Saccharomyces cerevisiae S288C: one gene and its partners. Changing the gene in region 1 together with any one later gene gives a genetic interaction. Each region holds a gene or a part of one and is shown on either strand. Other genes may lie near its edges. The genes, in order: TLD1, PUT3, AFR1 and HFL1.

What was found.
Region 2: mutations in TLD1 (region 1) and PUT3 together harm fitness more than expected from each alone (negative genetic interaction), as found in Saccharomyces cerevisiae (one large-scale study listed by BioGRID).
Region 3: mutations in TLD1 (region 1) and AFR1 together harm fitness more than expected from each alone (negative genetic interaction), as found in Saccharomyces cerevisiae (one large-scale study listed by BioGRID).
Region 4: mutations in TLD1 (region 1) and HFL1 together harm fitness more than expected from each alone (negative genetic interaction), as found in Saccharomyces cerevisiae (one large-scale study listed by BioGRID).

What each region holds. Positions count from the first base shown.
Region 1 is NC_001136.10:1,010,740-1,014,465, reverse strand, and holds TLD1 (triglyceride-associated lipolysis regulator TLD1), read right to left. Parts: upstream 2,215-3,726; coding exon 1,507-2,214; downstream 1-1,506. Other genes in the region: MTH1 (Mth1p), read left to right, coding at 1-65; PMP3 (Pmp3p), read left to right, coding at 823-990; YDR274C (uncharacterized protein), read left to right, coding at 2,506-2,877; DON1 (Don1p), read right to left, coding at 3,193-3,726.
Region 2 is NC_001143.9:406,430-412,749, forward strand, and holds PUT3 (Put3p), read left to right. Parts: upstream 1-2,114; coding exon 2,115-5,054; downstream 5,055-6,320. Other genes in the region: ATP-dependent 5'-3' DNA helicase HCS1, read right to left, coding at 1-812; ATP7 (F1F0 ATP synthase subunit d), read right to left, coding at 1,036-1,560; URB1 (Urb1p), read right to left, coding at 5,190-6,320.
Region 3 is NC_001136.10:612,782-618,038, reverse strand, and holds AFR1 (Afr1p), read left to right. Parts: upstream 1-1,888; coding exon 1,889-3,751; downstream 3,752-5,257. Other genes in the region: RRP1 (Rrp1p), read left to right, coding at 1-569; translocon subunit SSS1, read left to right, coding at 869-1,111; TVP23 (Tvp23p), read left to right, coding at 4,035-4,634; RRP8 (25S rRNA (adenine645-N1)-methyltransferase), read right to left, coding at 4,788-5,257. UniProt on the Saccharomyces cerevisiae protein: Acts in conjunction with the alpha-factor receptor to promote morphogenesis and adaptation.
Region 4 is NC_001143.9:528,481-533,166, forward strand, and holds HFL1 (Hfl1p), read left to right. Parts: upstream 1-2,465; coding exon 2,466-3,722; downstream 3,723-4,686. Other genes in the region: TRK2 (Trk2p), read left to right, coding at 1-2,004; MRS4 (Fe(2+) transporter), read right to left, coding at 4,070-4,686. UniProt on the Saccharomyces cerevisiae protein: Vacuole membrane protein that recruits ATG8 to facilitate the degradation of vacuolar integral membrane proteins during early-stationary vacuole turnover (EVT) when cells enter stationary phase.

The DNA of each region.
Region 1 (3,726 bases):
CGCAATGTCAGGCACAAGTTTACCAAAGATTAGGATTGGATTGGCAGCCGGATTCAGTATCCTGAAGATACTAAAAAGAAACCTTCCCGATGGTTTTTTTGGAGACTCTTCGATTGTATCAATACTATCCCATGGACATCAGTTTTAATAGAGGAGCTCCAAATTCCCAAGGAATTGAGGAAGAAGCGCCAATGATTTATATATACAAACTAGCTGTTGCAGCTTTATAGAGATTTAGTAATAAGAATTTTATGGGAACGTGGTACCGTTATCGCAGTAAAGAGTCAAGGGTAGCGAAGATCAAACCATACGATGACGAAATACCTTTAGTTCTTAGCATCACCAATCGCAGACATCCAACGTATCCGTGCGCGTAATCCTTCTCTTGGTAGTTGAGCACAGCATACAGAAGAAGCCGCGCGCAAGCGGTAAATGTCTTTCCTCCGGCCTTCTAACCACCAAAACCGATCTCGGAACATGGGGGGGGGAAGGTCCTCTGAATCGAAAAACCCGAGACAGCGAGAGGGATTTTGCAGAAAATTACAAAGATCACTATTTACTGCTCCCCTCACTTCCGCAGTCCCCTAATAGCGGAAGATGCAATGGGTGTGGGCTCTGGGTGCCCTTTAACCACGCCCTCAAAAGGGGGTCCTGGTTATTTTGCGATGGGCGCCTCTATAAATACAAAAGAGGAAGTGAGTGTTTTTGTTTTGGAAGAGGGAAAGGAAAAAAAGAAGAAAATTTACTATCGGTTGTTGTTTTTCGCCAGTATAATACAATTGATTATACATTTTGAACTAAACAGCACAGCACAATACAACAATGGATTCTGCCAAGATCATTAACATTATATTATCCCTTTTCTTACCACCAGTCGCCGTTTTTCTAGCCCGTGGGTGGGGTACTGACTGTATAGTGGATATCATTTTGACCATTTTGGCTTGGTTCCCAGGTATGCTATATGCCTTGTACATTGTCCTACAAGATTAAGCTCATTCAATAAACGAAAGTAACTATCAAATGAAATAAGGAAGCAGTATTAGGAAACGGTATCAACATGTTCGGGTCACCCTCATTTTTATTTGTTTCCTTTCTTTTTTTTTGTTTCTCTTTCTCTTAAGGTTTCCTCCCCCGCTGTTAATTTTAACTACGTGTGTATTTTTTAATAATTAATTTTATCACAAAAAAAACTTCTCATCTTTTTTGCCTTTTATCATTTTTGTACTTTTTTCTTCGCTTAAAATACACATGATATAGACGCTTAACTATCTGTCCTGCAAGTTTGTTTATCTATATAAATATAGCCAGTATCATCCGTTTACCTGTGTTGTAGAGTTCCAAAAGATAGAACAGCCTTTTATCAGATGGGTGGCAGACCCTTACCCATATTATCTCTCTTATTTTGTTTTTATTTCTCTCTAGCCTTATAATTATTTTTAGTTTCCTTTCTGTAGCAATAAGTGTTCTTAGCAGTGGCGTTGCGTTGCCTTGACCTTGATTATCAATTTAAGCAGCTTTCTGCTCACAAGCCACTTCAAAACGACTCGTGAATGATTTTTCGATCAATGATATCTTATCATAATTCGGATTTGATAGGAAATCATCATCCTCTTCCTCGTAGTAGGCGTCTTCCCTCCTTTCATTAACAAGTTTATTCTGCTTCACAAATGTAACTGTACTAGTTGAATTCAAACGCCTACTTTTGTTAACACTACCTGAACTAATATCATATTCCAGACCAGCTGTAGTATGATTGATCAATGATTCTGAGGATTCATTTAGCATATTAATTATCTCCTCATCAATAACTATTTCCTCCTTTCCGCTTATGGGACCACTGGTCTTTTCTTTTCCATCTGCCACCGGTAATGATGATCTATTGTAGTGGAATAACTTGCAACCGTAATCAAGCAACCTGCACATGTAGAGGAATAGATCGATCGCGTCCAGTATGATAATAGGCAACAGCAATACGATGACACCCAAAGAGCACATCAACTGGAAAATGCCAAACATTAACATCAGTCCTGATCTTATTTCGGATAATATCCCGCAGTGCCACGTCAAAGATAGTACCTTATCAAAGGCGTGGTTGATAATAACAAGTGCTAATCGGCTATTTGACATGATCTCTTCCTTTCCTGATGAGTTCTTGGTATCGTGATCGATCACAGTTGAACCTATAAGTTTTCTAAGCTTCGGGAAAAAAAACATTGTAACTAAAGGCAATAATGGATGCAGATGCCTGGCAAGGAAGGAAGAAAAAAAGACAATAGAATGCCGTTGGTATATATTCTCCGGCTGCCCCGTCAAAGGACTTCTAAAAACTAATATCAAGAAAATCAAAAAAAAAAATCAAAAAAAAAAATAAAGGAAAAAAAAAGATCTCTATCTTTATGTCGGTAGATATGACACTCCCTTCACGTTTATCATCTCTTGAACCTTTTCTAGTTCATCTACACCGTTCCTATTATCTTTCTTTTGCCCCCTTCTCTTCCCTCGTACATGTTTTCTTGCCTTTTACATTCCTCACGCCCTACTGACAGCTATTGCACTTTGGCGGCACCACTCAGCCAGACTGCCCGTACCCGTACGATGACCTTCCATGCAGCCACGGCGAAACGCAAGACCGAGCATTCGGGAATCAAGGAATCTAACTTGCATTTGTCCCGGGTCCTACTAAGCTCTTTCTGCCGTGCAAAAGGACGTTTCGTTTCGTTTTTCATATGCTATCCATTTCCTTTTGGGCTAACTAGGTTTCCGCGGGTTTTGTGGTCAATAGGACTCGACAAATCATTATTTACGCGCGTGCATTTTTCGCCATCATTCTTTTCCCTTCTTGCACCACTACAATTTTCCGGGATTGTACGATCGTAGGAAACTACTTACCGTCAGCGTTGCTCAAAAAGGCCCACATTATTTTCTTCCGTTAGTCCTGTTTTTATATTGTCCTGAAGTTTCCCGGCGCTAACTTCCTGGCTTTCCATTGAGTTTGAATTGTTGAGTAAAAACTAGTGTGCCATTGCTAGATGAACGTCATTTCCGCCCACACATCGACTGATGAATGACTCCATTTTGAGAACTAGATATACAACAAAGGCAAATAAGCGCAGAAGAAGCAATGGTGGTGTCTGTTCATTGCGAGCCCAAACGCACTTTGCCGAAAGAGTTAATAAACATTACCGCTATACACTACGTAAAACTTAATTCTTGTCTAGATGGATGAACCTGCTTTTTTTCATCTTTAGCGTCAGCTGCAAATAGACCACAACTATCAGTGCCAAAGGCAGATTTGTATCCACCGTCGTCCTTGGCAGGTAACCTATCTGCACTGTCACGCTGAGCCTCCGGCACTTCAGTATTACCGCCCTGGTTCTTCCTTTCTTGATTCGACGTATTGGTTTCGACATCTTGCTCTTCTTCTTCCTCGCTTTCGTCGCAGTTTAAAACGTCAAATAAATTGTTTGAAGGCTCATTTCTCTTCACAGTGACGGGAATGCGATTATTCTTCAATGACTTCGCAACAACTTTCACAGCGGCGCCTTTTAAGCTGTTAACTCCCTTTTCTTCTCCCTTCTCCTTTTCCTCCTCTTTTCCCTTCTCTTTTCCCTTGAGTATACTATCTTCGTTTGATAAAATTGTATTATGGCCCTCTGCAACAGCCACGTTCCTAGTCGATTCGGCGACTTCTCTATTCGATCCGGGGGTGCTAATGTTGCCAATGTG
Region 2 (6,320 bases), on another chromosome or scaffold:
CTCTCCAGAATCGTATCCACAGAAATATTGGAAGGCCCACAAATTAAGATTCTCTCCTCAGGATTTTTAATTAGCAATTGCTGGATCAATTCAATTAATGTGAATGTTTTACCCGTACCAGGAGGACCATGTATAATGGTCAAGTCATTGTTAATGGCAAAATTAATGGCAGTTTTCTGGGAGTCATTCAGATTCGGGTTTAAAAAAGATTTAATGTTTTGAAAGCTGTTTGTATTGGGGATGAAGGGGCGTTCGTTTACCAAGTATTGTATAATTTTGTCTTGTATGGGTGAACTAATTTCAGACAGTTTTCTCATTGTGGATTCCATTCTATTATACGTGACGACATTGGTAGTCTTTAAAATGTAAAGTTTGCTATAAGAATAAAATGTGGTAGCAATAACATCTTGAGATTCTTCTAGAGCTATGGTGATTTGAGTATCACTCATTTTGTAGACAACGCCTGAGCATTCCGCTTGCTCGCCATTGGAGTCTTCAGACACCTTTTTGACTTTGGGCTTAGTCTTGGTATTTACTTTGGTTTTTGCAGGGCGTACCAAAACAATATCACCAACCTTAATATCACCCCTTTGAATTTTGTCGTTAACCGCCAAGTTAGGTCCCAGTTCCATATATAATTTGCCAATGAGACCGGATCTTATGTTTTCTAGATGTATGTTGTTTATTGCCAAGCCATTTTGCACCAATTGTTGGATAGATAGCGTTGTTAATAGCCTAGAAGTTGTTTGAATGTCTTGTTCACGTTCATGCTTGATGCTTGATAAAAACTTAGAAGCCAATTCTTTGTTCATTTCCCTCTACTCTTTTTTCTATATTTCTCAAGAGACAACTTTACATCAGCCTTCATATTTTTGAAATATATGTAACGTACAAGATTTTCTTAGCGTAAGGATATGCAGGCGCACATTTGTGTATATATGACAGTAAGAATGTTTAATTATAATATTTGCCAGTTATATAAACCTGTGAAAAAAATAATAGAATATGGTGCGTAATATATAGAGGTAAAGGGTACTACATCACATTCAAATTGCCGAATCTGTCCTTGTAACCAGGTACGTCCCATTTACCCTTCTTGACCATCTCTTCTACCTTAGCATCAATTTCAGGTTTGATCTTTGTCAGGTCGTCAACAGTTAATTCATCGAAAGGTCTTGCAGATTGAATATTATCTAAGGTGCTTTGCAAATCCTTTAACTCCTTGGAAACTAAGGATTCTGTCTCCTTGGCGTTGGTCATTGCGTGCTTTTCAAAAGACTCAATCACTTGTAATTGTTTGGAGGCATCGATTTTGACCGGCTTATATTGCTTAACGTATGATTCTATCTTGTCAATGACTGAAGTGTTTTTCAACACAGATCTATAATGACTGAAATCTACTTCGGTGGGTTGACTTTGCAGCTCTAGTAATTGTCTACGTGCCTCATCGTTTCTCTTTTTAAAACTCGATAATTGAGTGGCAGTCGACCCTGTTATACGTAGAGAAGAGATGACTTTTGCCCAGTCAAGTTTGTTAGCAGCGGATTTGGCCAAAGACATAGTCGAACAAAAATATAATTAGGTGATTCTGCAATTAAGTGCACGAAAAATTTCTTTTAAATCCTAAGATTGTTCTTTTGCGTTACGTGTCAATATGAATATATAAACTTATATAGAAAAGTATTGTACTAGTAGAAATATGTTTTACACCTACGCTAAGCAGCAAGTGGTAATTGGTGTATCTTTTACTTTTTTGGGGGCATCAAGACAAATATCCAATCAAATCGAAGAGAAAATAATTCTTGTAACCCGCTCATTAGTCACGTGGTCATCACGTGAGCATAATATATCACGTGATATACACCCATACCTCGTTTATGGGATTGAGTCATCGGATATGTCATTATAAACGATATTTCTCCGCGGCAATGAGGTGGCGAATATTGGAGTAAAAATGAAAACATCCACCAGGTGCTTGATGATATACTTGACTTCGGCGGCAATTTAAAGCTTTCTAAGCAGCAATTAGTAAGTAACCATTACAATAACGATAAATACGACACTGGTCCAACTAACTCATTGATAGGATAATTGCAGTGATCTTAACGAGTTTAATGGTGACCGACCAAGGCAGTAGGCATTCGATACAATCTAAGCAACCAGCCTACGTTAATAAACAACCGCAAAAAAGGCAGCAGAGATCTTCTGTCGCATGCCTTTCTTGTAGGAAACGTCATATAAAATGTCCTGGTGGTAACCCTTGCCAAAAATGTGTTACGAGCAATGCCATATGTGAGTACTTGGAGCCGTCAAAAAAAATTGTTGTGTCGACAAAGTATCTGCAACAACTGCAAAAAGACTTGAATGATAAAACTGAAGAGAATAACCGCCTGAAAGCTTTGCTCTTGGAGAGACCAGTGAGTGTACGTGGTAAGGATAACAGCGATGATGACGAGAGGCATATAAACAATGCACCCTCAAGTGACACATTGGAAGTATCCAGCGCTCCGGCGGCTCCTATATTTGACCTCATGTCCAATAGTAACACTGCGTCCGATAACGATAACGACGATGACAACAGCAACAGAATCACAAATAATAGGAGCTATGATCATAGTTTGGAAAAATACTACAAAAAGGCCATCAGCATCTTTAAACAACCAGCTAATGCTAATGGCGAAAATGGCAACGGTGCCAATGGTCATGAGGATGATGATGAAGATGATGAAGAAATATCAACAAATTTTGCTCAAAGAAGTGGTAGGCTCATAGAATCTCACAATGGATTCCATTATTTTGTTGGATCTTCTTCAATGACATTATTTGGGTTAGAAATTCAATCTTTGGTTACAAAGTATATTTCGGTCAAGAATTTTCGACCTTTGCCAATAAACACCAAAAACAAGATTTTAAATTCAAACCTGAACCCGGCTATAAGTTCTTTTATCAATTCAAACAACTATCTTTTCTCGTCCTATAATTTTTTGAACCCTATATCGACTATTGTCAACTTAAACTCAATCAACGATAATTTATCTCCATTGATGTTTAAGATAATTTTGAAAAGCGATACGGATGGTAGTAGTGGCCAGGAAGAGGTAATACAGTTTCAGTTGCCTTCGTATAATTACACAAAACTATTAATTGACTGCTTTATAAATTATAACGATGGTTGTTTTTACTTTTTCAACGAAGGCCTGGTTAAATGTGGCATTAACAAATTGTACTTGGAAAATAAATGGCTATACTATGATAATACCAAAAAAGCTTTGGACAATGAGAATGATCCAATTTTACAAGCTGTTTGGTTTTGCAAAATTTTGTTAATTTTAGCAGTAGGTGAAATGTATCTGGGTTCCATCAATAATGAAATGTTGAAGAATTATTCTAATCAGCCAAAATTGCCCGGTTCAAAATTTTTTCAAATGGGTTCTAAAATTTTTAATTGTTTGTTCTCAAGTGAAAGATTAGAAAATGTGACTAAGAAAGGCGGTATTGAAGTCCTGTTGTTATACGCGTTCTTCTTACAGGTGGCTGATTACACTTTAGCCTCTTATTTTTACTTCGGTCAAGCCCTAAGGACGTGCTTAATTCTAGGCTTACATGTTGATTCTCAAAGCGACACTCTATCCAGGTATGAAATCGAGCATCATAGGAGACTTTGGTGGACAGTTTACATGTTTGAACGAATGCTTAGCTCAAAAGCTGGGTTACCATTAAGTTTCACTGATTATACAATCTCTACAGCACTGCCAGCGGATATTGATGATGAAACTATCGAAGAGAAAAATAGTCACTATGTTTTCAGAAAGGCAGAATTGATTTCTAACTGCGTTACTATTGTGAAAATCAATGCACAAATTTTGAGCAAATTATATCAAAGGCAACCTGAGACAAACATCATAATTACTTTGAAAGTTGTCATCAAGCAGTTGTTGGAATGGAGGAACAATTTGTCCGATTCCTTACAGGTGGATTTTACGCAAAAGGATGAAGATTTCAAAATATCGAGATTGTCAACCAATATGTTTACGGAATATTTTCAAGGAATAAACTTGGCCGTGAGACCTTTATTATTTCATTTTGCATCCATTCAATTGAAAAGGTTCAAAACGAGCAATACTTTCGTCAACTTACAAAACTATTCTGCCACAATATCTTCCTTATTAACATGTTCTTTGCATGCTTCTGTGAATACTATTAGGTCTCTGTGGAGTTTATTACAGAATAGTATGCTTGCTATGTTTAGTTATATGGACAGAGAGTATCTTTTTACTTCTTCTTGTACTTTATTACTATTCAACACTGCTTTTGGTATTCATGAACAAACACTATATCATTTGGATCATTCTCTGGAAATTTTCACACAAATGAGAAACTTAGGCAACATTCCAGCAGGCTTAAGAAGAGCACAATTATTAACATTAATGGCAAATTTGGATTTCCACGGCATAATGAATGACTTGATTACTAAATATAACGATATTTTGAAATTTGATTCTATGAATTGTGAAAACGATAACATAGTAGAAGATAGCAATGAACCCAAAAGAGAAACCGAAAAGTGTAAACCTCACAAAGATGGCGATCGCATTGACCCTTCAATTATAGACTGTGATAAATCAAACACCAATACAAATATGATCAAGAACGAATCTATATCGAACATTGTTAGCATACTTCCGGAAGGCGCGAAACCAACGCTGACTGATTATAGTAATGGTAATAATGATGTTAATGATATTAACGTCAATAACTCGGAACCTTCTACTTTTTTTGATATCATAACTGCGAGCTTGGAAAATTCATACCAAACCACGCTAACTGAAAAGGGCTCTCAGGTGATGGAAAAAAACATGGATCAGTTGGATTCCGTTCATAATCTAAATGATGACGATTTACAACAATTGTTGGAGGATTTAGGCAATATTGATCATTCCGATGAAAAACTTTGGAAGGAAATCACTGATCAAGCAATGTGGCTGGGAAATACTATGGATCCAACTGCAGCTGCTGGTAGTGAAATTGACTTTACTGATTATTTAGGACCATAACACCATTACAAAGACAAAGAAGAAAATACTGATTTCTTTGTTTTCTTATGCATATATTATACATTTCGCACATTATATAGAAAAGTGGACATTTAATTCTTCAAATCTTATTTAAAATATCTATCACAAGACAGCTCATTTACGTAGCCTCTTGACAACATTGTCGCTATCACCTTCTGTCCATAATATTAGCCTTTTTTGTGATTTGACAAGCTCGTTGTAGCCTAATAGTAGTTTTTCAATTCCGTTTTGTTCTTGGGCTAACCTCAAAGTAGTATTTAATGTACCTCTGTTTTCGTTCCGTAAAGTACCAATGTTGTTCAGTATATCGTCCTGTGGTAGTCTAGATTTGATGTTATTGTTCAAAACCTCGAAAAACGACACAATACCGTTTCTGCTAATTAAATTCAAACCACCATCATCTGCTACCCTTTGGACTTTGTAAAAAATAAAATAGATTAGTTCGCGTAATCTTTCTTTCAAGTATGGCATATTGATCAAGTTTAACAACCATTCAAATACACCTTTCTTCTCTAACATCTTGTAATCTTCATCCGTTTTAATTCCCTTACAAATGGTTGTTAAAACCCAACTCAATTCTCCATAGTATATTTCCATATCAATTTCTTTCTTATTGTCATCTTGTTGTCTCTTATTGTAGGACATCATCACATCAGATACCATAGGGATGTCCCAACTACGTATGGTAGAATTTGATAATACCCAGCGGTATGCCTTCTCATGTAAGGGCGCAGTTGGACTTCCCAATAGATCAACAATTCTAGAGATAGAAAACCAAATTAACGGATTGATAGGATCTTGATTTTGTTGTCTCTGGTATAAAATCCTTTTAATCAACACTTGGTAAATGCTATTATATTTGATTAAATCGCTATCAGATTCTTTTCTTTCATTATCCTTGCTAGTTATTTGCTTTTCAAGATTCATCTGGGCAGTTTTCTTCTCCAAAGAAGAAGCTAAATTTGATAAATGTTCGTAACTTATATTGGCAACGGTATGACAATCGCTTAATGAGCAAATAATAAACTGAAATATTTTGCAATCAAGGAAATTTTCAAATTCATATCTGTATGTTACATTGCCCTCGTCATCTTTGACCATTTTTACCAGCTCTTTGTTATGGATTATTAATAGCAGTAAAAATAATGGATCGTACATATCAACACCAGATCGTTCGGTATCATCGTAGTACTTTTTGACTAGGTCACACCTTGTAGTAGCATCATAATTGTTTGTATTAGAATC
Region 3 (5,257 bases), 400 kb from region 1:
CAAACGATAAAGCATTTATAAAGTTTAGCAGAGGGTTTTGGAAGGTCATGTGCTTTGAATGGTTTAACATTGACAGATATAGGTTGGATAAGTATCTTCTATTGATAAGAAGGGTATTATTCAGTCAATTGAAGTATTTGCAGTCCAGAAACTGGGACAAAAAATTAGTCGACGAGTATATTAAGAAAGTGTTGAGGTGGTTACCTCTGAGTGGAAGTCCAAAGGTCTACACAGGGATTCCAATTCATATCGTCGATATTCTGCTGGACGAATGGGAAAGATTGCTTAAAGATGGAGATGAAGACGATGAAGACGAGGAAAACAAAGAGGAAGAGATGCGCAAAATTGCAGAGAGCGCAAAAAAAACGCCACTAGCCGATGTTATCGCAATTTTCCAAGATATCGTGGCAGATTACAATAACAGTAAGGTGTTGAGAGAGAAGATCAAAGAAGACCTATTCAGTGACACCAGACTTGTTTCCTGGGATATTCTTGAAGGCGAAACGCAACATAATGATTCCAGTAACGAATCTGAAGAAGAGGAAGAGGAAGAGTGGAAGGGATTTTGATTCTTCCTGGCGGTAGTATGTAAGTAATCGTAAGTCGCTCATATAAATTGTAGTTGTATATCTATAGTACGAAAAATTCATTACCCTCTGTGGATATTGGCGGAATGCGAAACACGTCGCCTTTTTTTCCTCGCAACATTTTTTTTATTTTTTTTTCGTTTTGAAATGAAAGAATACTAGTGATTAAATTAAACAAGGAAAATAGTACAGATTGGCGTGTATTGTCCATAACTCGTGTCCATTGTCCGCACTACGCTAGTTTACCAAAGATAAAATCACGTATAACATTGAAAAATAAAATGGCTAGAGCTAGTGAAAAAGGTGAAGAGAAAAAGCAGAGCAACAACCAGGTTGAAAAGCTGGTTGAAGCACCTGTAGAATTTGTCAGAGAAGGTACTCAATTCTTGGCCAAGTGTAAGAAACCTGATTTGAAGGAATACACCAAGATTGTCAAGGCTGTTGGTATTGGTTTTATTGCAGTCGGTATCATTGGTTACGCCATCAAGTTGATTCATATTCCAATCAGATACGTTATTGTTTAAAAGAGATAAAAGACGAGAAAAAATAAAAACAACGGCACCAGAACCAAAAATCAAAATTAAGTAGTATTCTTTATGTGCATTTTTCCCTTTAAATTATAACCTTTCTATCGGTATAGTGTGTATATGTTCAGCCCTATATAAGAATTTACTCTAAAGAGGTGGAAGGCAAGAGTCTTGATTCTTCCCATATAATATTACTGCATTTTCTGTATTAAACATGTTTTCTATTTGCCGAATAAGCATAAACGTATCATTGTTCCTTTCCCTTTATTTAAGCTCCATACCGATCATGGAAAAGCTCTCCAACGACCTTGAAACGAAAAACCGTTCCTTGGCGATATGACGTTTAGCTCCTTGTCAAATTCTTCCGTGCTACCACGTTGCTACCACTGATATGAAACAAGTACGATCCCTGAACGGAACAGCGCCTAAAAATAGATGGGCACTCACTTTTCCTTTTTCGCTGCCTCTTTTTCCCATGCATTTCCTTTTTGAGTAGTACGTCTTATTTTTGATTATATGCTCGACATACCCCAGGTTTCACAAAGGTTTGGCTTCCTTTTAGCACTTTCTCTCTCACCCTTTCAACAAGTTTATTGGGCCCGACTTACCTTGACGACTTTAATGGGACGCCTGCTAAAAGCTTATTCTACATAAATATATATACCGGCTTCATATAATATAGGAACAAAAGAAAAAGAAAACTGGAAAAAGGGAAGGGGCTATCTCATTATCCAGATAGGCCATATTAGGTGTTACCACAAACTGCTGATAATAATGGAGGGCTCATATCTATCTGCACAAGAAAACCAACCCATACCGGAGCGATTGATACCTAGGTCGAACTCAACTTCGAATTTGTTTGCTTTGTCTAGTACATTCTCTAAACTCAATGTTAGGAATGATGCTGATTACAATTATTCGAACCCGAATAAGAAGAGACACATTTATAGTGGCGAGATAGACTGTAGGTCTGTGACAGCAGCTAGAAAATTTCCAGTAAGGTCCTGTTCAATGACAGCCGCCCAGCAAAGAAAGAGAACTGCGCTATTCACAGTTAGGGAAAGAAACTCTTACCATGAGGGGTTCAATAATGATCAAGATTATGTGAGCCAATACCAGAAGCCACAGTACACTTTCGGAGTATATAAAGAATTAACACCTTATCAACTGCAGCGCTCTAAAATGAAAAGAAGCTTTCAATTTCCCAATGGCGAAATATACAAGCCAAAACTTGATGGAAAATGCACCCACAGCTTGAAAAAGCCTGAATTAAATTCAAGAGACTCTTCTTTATTCAAATTCAGCGAGAAGAAAGGTCGCAATTTATCAAAAGATTTTGTGGGGCCTCATAATGGGACATCAGTCATACATATTCCTCCCAATGATACAGGCTACGGTGTAAATAGCTTGGAGCTGAACACTTCAGTTCCTTCAACAATAAAAAGTTCGGTTTCATCAACCTCTCCGATATCTGCTGTTAATACCCTGACCAGCTTGCCAGAAAGTCAAACTGATGATGATGACGGTTATGAAAATAAAACTGTAACTATATCTTATTGCTTCGAAAATACGGTAAATGAAAAACATGGTAGCCATATAGAAAAATTGGATTTATCAACTAAGGAAAAAACTAAGCCAACAACTAATTCAGGCCTATTTGATAGAAAGAAAAAGACTATTCTGGGCACTGAGAAATATAGATGTATAAAGTCACAATCGAAGTTGAAACTGGGTTCTGTTTTGAAGAAATTATGGCGTACTTCAGGAAACTCGAATACAAAGCATGGAAAAAAGGATACAAAAAGAAGGAGAATTCCTATCGATGATATGGTTACGCATTCTGATGGAAATTCTGAAGCTGAGAATGATATTGAATTAATGGATGCAAATCTGGACGGCATTGAATTTGACGACGACGAAACTCTAATGGATACAGATTCAATTTTTGATGATCTGTTGTCCAAGGAAAATGATAAATACGATTTGAGGCGAAGGCAATTAGAAATACGACAAAAGCTCCACGAGACCTCGCACAACGACGATGGCAAGGTTTCTTTTCGAGATACCGAAAAGCATAATGTCAATGAAGGTTTGATCGACAAGACCATAATCGAAGAATTTTCAAAGCTCGGTGAATATATAATCGACACGAGAAATCAACCACCACCAAGATCGTCCAAGAGGCCTTCATTAGATGACAATGAATCTGCACGATACTTCTACAACATATCGACAGATTTGCGACAGTCTCTGTCAGGTCCAATAAGCTTACCAATGCATGTTGGGAACGACATGGTAAATAGGTTGAGAAATGACTGGGAGTATATCAGATTCGAAGATAGAAGGAATTCGCTGCCAGATTCCTCATTTGATAAAGTCGAAACACCTCCAAAACCAATAAAAAAAGATGTCCGGTTTGCAAAAGAAGTATGTTTAGCAAGCACTTGGTCATCGAATGCATATGAGAGAGCTAATCCGGAATTCATTATGAATCGCCACAGATTGTTGTGGATGATGAAAGTACATCCAAGCATGAATAGTGCCATGAATGAGATCAAACTTGAACTTAACTCTTACAAAAAAAATGAGATGGTTGTCCATGAGAACAGCAAGTGCTTTACACATTATTTAATTTGAGTTATTAACGTAACATAATCCAGTTTATTTTTTGCAATAGAAGGCGTCATACATATTTATATATCAATGTATACATTCCATTCCAGTTACTTCTTTTGCATCTTGCTTCCTGTTTACCTTGACCTCGAACCTATTATTTGTCCGCAATGCGCCTTTGGGTGAAAAGGGATTTCGTTTCCATTTTAACTGTACATAATGTAAATGTAGAAAAGCGTGGTTCTTAAAGGATTTACGGTTCAATACGCTTTTATAAACCTGCTGGTGCTCTAATTACGAATGAAACATGGACCAGGCAAGAAATTTCTACAACACAATTTTAAAATCGTCGCACCCGTTGCTACTATCATTTCATCTGGCAGGTAAGGCAGTTCCCATTGTATTTTATATCATAGGATCAATGTTTTTGAATTTCACACCTCAATTCATCACTGTCGTTCTTTTACTTTCTTTTGACTTTTACTTAACAAAAAACATTACAGGTCGGAAACTGGTCCAATTACGCTGGTGGTATGATTCTACAGATGTGAACAAAGATTCTAATTTTACTTTCGAATCATATAAGCAATATGCGCCGGGCCCACCAATAAATGCCATCGATTCTAAGTTATTCTGGTGGTCGATGTATGTGACACCCGTAATCTGGGGTGTCTTCGCTGTGTTGTGTCTTTTAAGACTGAAAATATTCTACCTGATTTTGGTCATTGTTGCAATGTGTCTGACCGCCTGGAACACGTATGGATTTCGTTGTTGCGATAGATGGGAGCCCAATAGTGGACAATCTGACGGTCAAGATACTAATAATTGGTTCGCTCTTCCTTCTGTTCCGGGCTTTGAAAATCTTTCAAGGCTGGCTAATATCCAATCGTTTTTCCAGAGACAATAAAACCTTGTCCCTCATGTGAACATTGTGGAGTACTTCTTCTAGATGATTTTTACTTTACGCAATGTACTACAGGAAAAGAATACAATTATATGTATAAATATAGTATACAAAAGAAAAAACAATATTAAAATATGAAAATGACGGATGAAGTCGTTATCTTCTTTTATAAATACAGGGCTTCAAGAGCCATTTTCCTTCGGCAATTTTCCGTCTTTTCTTTTCTAATTCTTCCTTCTCAGTTTCAACTTCAATAAACTTTTGTCTTCTTTCCAATTTCTGCCTTCTCTCTTCAATAATCTCCGCAGGTGGCTTGAAAAATTCGAATCTTGTAAACATCTTATTCTCGTCGAAGGTCTTTTTGTGAAAAAATCCCATCAGCTTCAAAGCGTCTACAAATTCATTACCTTTGCCGTCACTAAACCTTGATTTAATTTCTGCGATCCATAATTCACCCCTTGGCGCTAAAATCCTATAAGCTTCTTTTATGAAATCGAGGAAATTTGTACCCATTAGAGCCAGGCAGAAGACCACTATAGTACAGGACTCATCTGGTAGCGGCACATTTCTAATATCTGCCACAGTTATTCTTTCGTTAGCTTTCTTCAAATCAAAACTGTGGACTT
Region 4 (4,686 bases), on another chromosome or scaffold:
GAATCCAGTGACACGCAAAGCTCGCCTCCAAACTTCTCAAGTAAGCGCCAACCCTCAGACGTTGACCCAAGAGACATTTACAAATCGATAATGATGCTACAAAAACAACAAGAGAAGAGCAACGCAAACTCCACGGATTCTTTTTCGAGCGAGACCAATGGACCCGCTTTCATTGTGCAGGAACGTCATGAGAGAAGAGCCCCCCACTGCTCACTGAAACGCCATTCTGTCCTGCCATCTTCTCAGGAATTGAACAAGCTAGCCCAGACGAAAAGTTTCCAGAAATTGCTTGGCTTGCGGAGAGATGAAGGTGACCATGACTACTTTGACGGTGCTCCTCACAAATATATGGTCACCAAGAAGAAAAAAATATCTAGAACGCAATCATGTAACATCCCAACGTATACTGCTTCACCGAGTCCTAAAACCTCAGGCCAAGTAGTTGAAAATCATAGAAACTTGGCCAAGTCGGCGCCTTCATCTTTTGTTGATGAGGAGATGAGCTTTTCACCGCAAGAGTCTTTGAATTTACAGTTCCAAGCGCACCCGCCCAAACCAAAACGACGTGAAGGTGATATAGGCCACCCCTTCACCAGAACAATGAGCACCAACTATCTATCGTGGCAGCCAACCTTTGGCAGAAACTCCGTCTTCATTGGACTCACAAAGCAACAAAAGGAGGAACTCGGCGGTGTCGAATATCGTGCTTTGAGATTGCTGTGCTGCATTCTCATGGTATACTACATCGGATTCAACATTTTGGCGTTTGTGACCATCGTTCCATGGGCCTGTACGAGGCACCACTACTCAGAGATTATTAGACGAAATGGAGTTTCTCCAACCTGGTGGGGGTTTTTCACTGCAATGAGTGCATTCAGCAACTTGGGTCTGTCTTTGACCGCTGATTCAATGGTTTCCTTTGATACTGCGCCGTATCCGCTGATTTTCATGATGTTCTTCATCATCATAGGCAATACAGGCTTCCCAATTATGTTACGATTTATCATTTGGATCATGTTCAAGACCTCGAGAGACCTATCTCAGTTTAAGGAAAGTCTTGGGTTTCTCTTGGATCATCCGCGCAGGTGTTTTACGTTGCTGTTCCCCAGCGGCCCCACATGGTGGCTGTTTACAACTTTAGTCGTCTTAAACGCTACGGATTGGATTCTTTTCATAATTCTGGATTTCAACTCCGCTGTAGTAAGGCAGGTTGCTAAAGGTTATCGAGCTCTCATGGGCCTCTTCCAGTCTGTATGCACAAGAACTGCTGGATTCAACGTTGTTGACTTAAGTAAATTACACCCGTCCATTCAGGTGTCTTATATGCTAATGATGTACGTTTCGGTCCTGCCGCTGGCGATTTCCATTAGAAGAACGAATGTTTATGAGGAGCAATCGTTGGGACTATACGATAGTGGACAAGATGACGAAAATATCACCCACGAAGACGATATAAAGGAAACAGACCATGATGGCGAATCCGAAGAGCGAGACACTGTATCTACAAAGTCCAAGCCGAAGAAACAGTCCCCAAAATCGTTTGTTGGTGCTCATTTGAGGAGGCAACTCTCTTTTGATTTATGGTACCTATTCCTTGGATTATTTATAATATGCATATGCGAGGGCAGAAAAATCGAAGACGTTAATAAACCTGATTTCAATGTCTTTGCTATATTGTTTGAAGTTGTTAGCGCTTATGGTACAGTGGGTTTGTCATTGGGTTACCCAAACACCAACACATCACTATCTGCCCAGTTCACCGTATTATCGAAGCTAGTCATAATTGCCATGCTAATAAGAGGAAGAAATAGAGGTTTACCATACACTTTGGATCGTGCCATCATGCTGCCAAGTGACAAACTGGAACAAATTGATCGTTTACAAGATATGAAAGCTAAGGGTAAGTTGTTAGCCAAAGTTGGTGAGGATCCAATGACTACTTACGTCAAAAAGAGATCCCACAAACTGAAAAAAATAGCAACAAAGTTTTGGGGGAAGCATTAAAATCAAGTTTACCCCTCTTTACCTACATAAGAGCCAACGTAATTTTCTCTCAGTATTATATGTATTATCTCCGAAGTTTATTATTCTTTAACGAAATATAAAAGAAAAATAAGAAAGATTAAGACCCTAAAAGGTGTACCACTACGATTCAACAAGCACAACGAATCCTATCCGTAATATACTTTTGATTTCTGACTATTCTAGAAAAATTTTAGTTCATTTTTTTTCCCTCTTTTTACTTATTGTATTTTTCACAATTGAATTGCATTTTGTCCCCTACGAAAAAAGGCAGAAAACGAGATCTAAACCACTTTCAGATCAGAATAATAATAATAATAATAACCAACCAAAGCCATCAACAGGTCCACTAGAAGCATCTGCCAAGTTACGACCTAAGCAAAGGTTTGAGTGAAAAGTGAATTGCGACAGTACAATCACAAAAGTATAGAAACATAATTGTTATGGAAAACAAACTACTTTGTTGGTGGTTGTACTGGCCATGCGTGTATTCATCTATTATAGCTACCATAATATCTTTTTACACCATAACTAGACACTTATTAAATTACCGTAAACCATATGAACAAAGACTATCCATACGGATACTATTGCTCGTGCCCATTTTTAGTGTGTCATGCGCAAGTGGCATAATTAAGCCTGAAGCAGCTCAATTTTATGTCGATCCTATCAGAGAATTTTATGAAGCATTCGTTATTTACACTTTTTTCACATTTTTAACACTACTACTAGGAGGCGAGAGGAACATCATTACTGTTTTAAGCTTAAATCACGCCCCCACAAGACATCCGATACCGCTAATAGGTAAAATTTGCAAACCGATAGACTTATCTGATCCTTTTGATTTTCTTTTTGTCAAAAAAGGCATATTACAGTATGTTTGGTTCAAACCATTTTATTGTTTTGGTACATTGATATGCAGTGCATGGAAGCTACCCAAATTCGAAATATTTTTGAACGTTTTTTATAATATTTCAGTGACTTGGTCACTGTATAGTTTAGCACTATTTTGGAAGTGTCTCTATCCGGAATTAACTCCTTATAAACCATGGTTGAAATTTTTATGTGTCAAATTGATTATTTTTGCCTCTTATTGGCAGAGCATCATAATCCAGGGTCTAGTGGTTACTGGAAAGTTGGGTACGGGAAACCAAGATCGAACCTCTGGATATGTGTACAAGAATGGGCTCCTGTGTATAGAGATGGTGCCTTTCGCCATCTTGCATGCAGTAGCTTTCCCTTGGAACAAATACACAGCATTTAGCATACCTTATGGGGCCAGGATGAAATTCATTTACGCTTTGAAAGATTTTCTTGGTTGCGGTGATCTAATATGGGATTTTAAACAGACTTTGTTTGCTGGTCCCTTGTACTATAATTATAGGAACTTCGATCCTGAAGCCATGGATCTATTAAGCACTAGACAACAATCCGGTGCGACTATGGAAAGACTAAAGCATGGGCTAAGATTTACTGATAATGGAAGAAATAGTTATTGGGTGGCATATGGGAGTATAGATAACAACCTTGTTCCGGAATCAATAGAGGAATCATGGGAAGATGATATTGCTGGTCAGAGAACTTTTCCTGAGGATCCAAATTATCCGGTTGTTCACGACTACACGATGGGCCATCGATATAGTAGATCAATGAATGATTTAAGAAGAGATGTTCAAAGTAGGTCATCAATGGCTTGTTAAATGAGTCGTTAAATGTACGTATATACATAGTTACTGCGCTTTCGGTTATATACAAAATAAAACAACATCTACAAGCAATGCTTTTTTTTCAATTATTGTAACTTGGATGCTTATTCTAATAAAATGAAATAAATGCTACTGTAATTTTTTGCCGGAGGATTGGCTATATATGCAGAGTGGGAGTTGGACGATATCACCATTATTATTATTTTTCTATTATTACCATTGGACTTGTCTTTTGCAGCAACAAAAGTGGCAGCAGCAGCAACAGCACCACCACCAATGCATTTTGGCCTTGCCTTTTATAAGTTGTCAAAAAAAGTTGACCTCGAAAAGGGGAAAAAACATCAATTTTTCATTAAAAAATGCTTAGCACATTCATATGCAGTCCAAGAAATGGCAGTGGCTGGTATATTAGCCACTATCCTTGGTTTCAAACCTCGCCAAAACCCCTTCCAACCATGAACCTCCAGTATGGCTCTTGAGGCTCTACCAAAAGTGTTCGCATCCTTCATTATTTCGATGGAGACAGTTTCGCTGCCTCTAACCTGTAATACAGTCTTTATGCAATCCAACGGTGTAGTTAACGCAGCACATGTTGCACCACTTATCCCACCGCAAAGACAATGAATCAATGGATTGTAGGAATTTTGTGGGTTGAAGAATTTGCTGGCAGATTCATATATCATGAAATTGAACGCTGCAAATGGGATATTCATGGCCAATGTTGTGGGATAGGAGTAGTAAAATGCTGCAAAGCCTTCATTTTGATATATTTGCTTAGTAACATTCCAAACTCTTAGATTAGTATCCAATTGTAGTCTTTGTTTAACGGTGTCAAAGGGGTTCATCAATGCATCCGCAGCAATGGTAGCAATGGTACCACTCAGTGCGGTCTTCATTGGTTGATGAGTTTGCATATCTTCAGGGCTTATCAGGCGAGCTTTGCAAAACTCGTATGTAC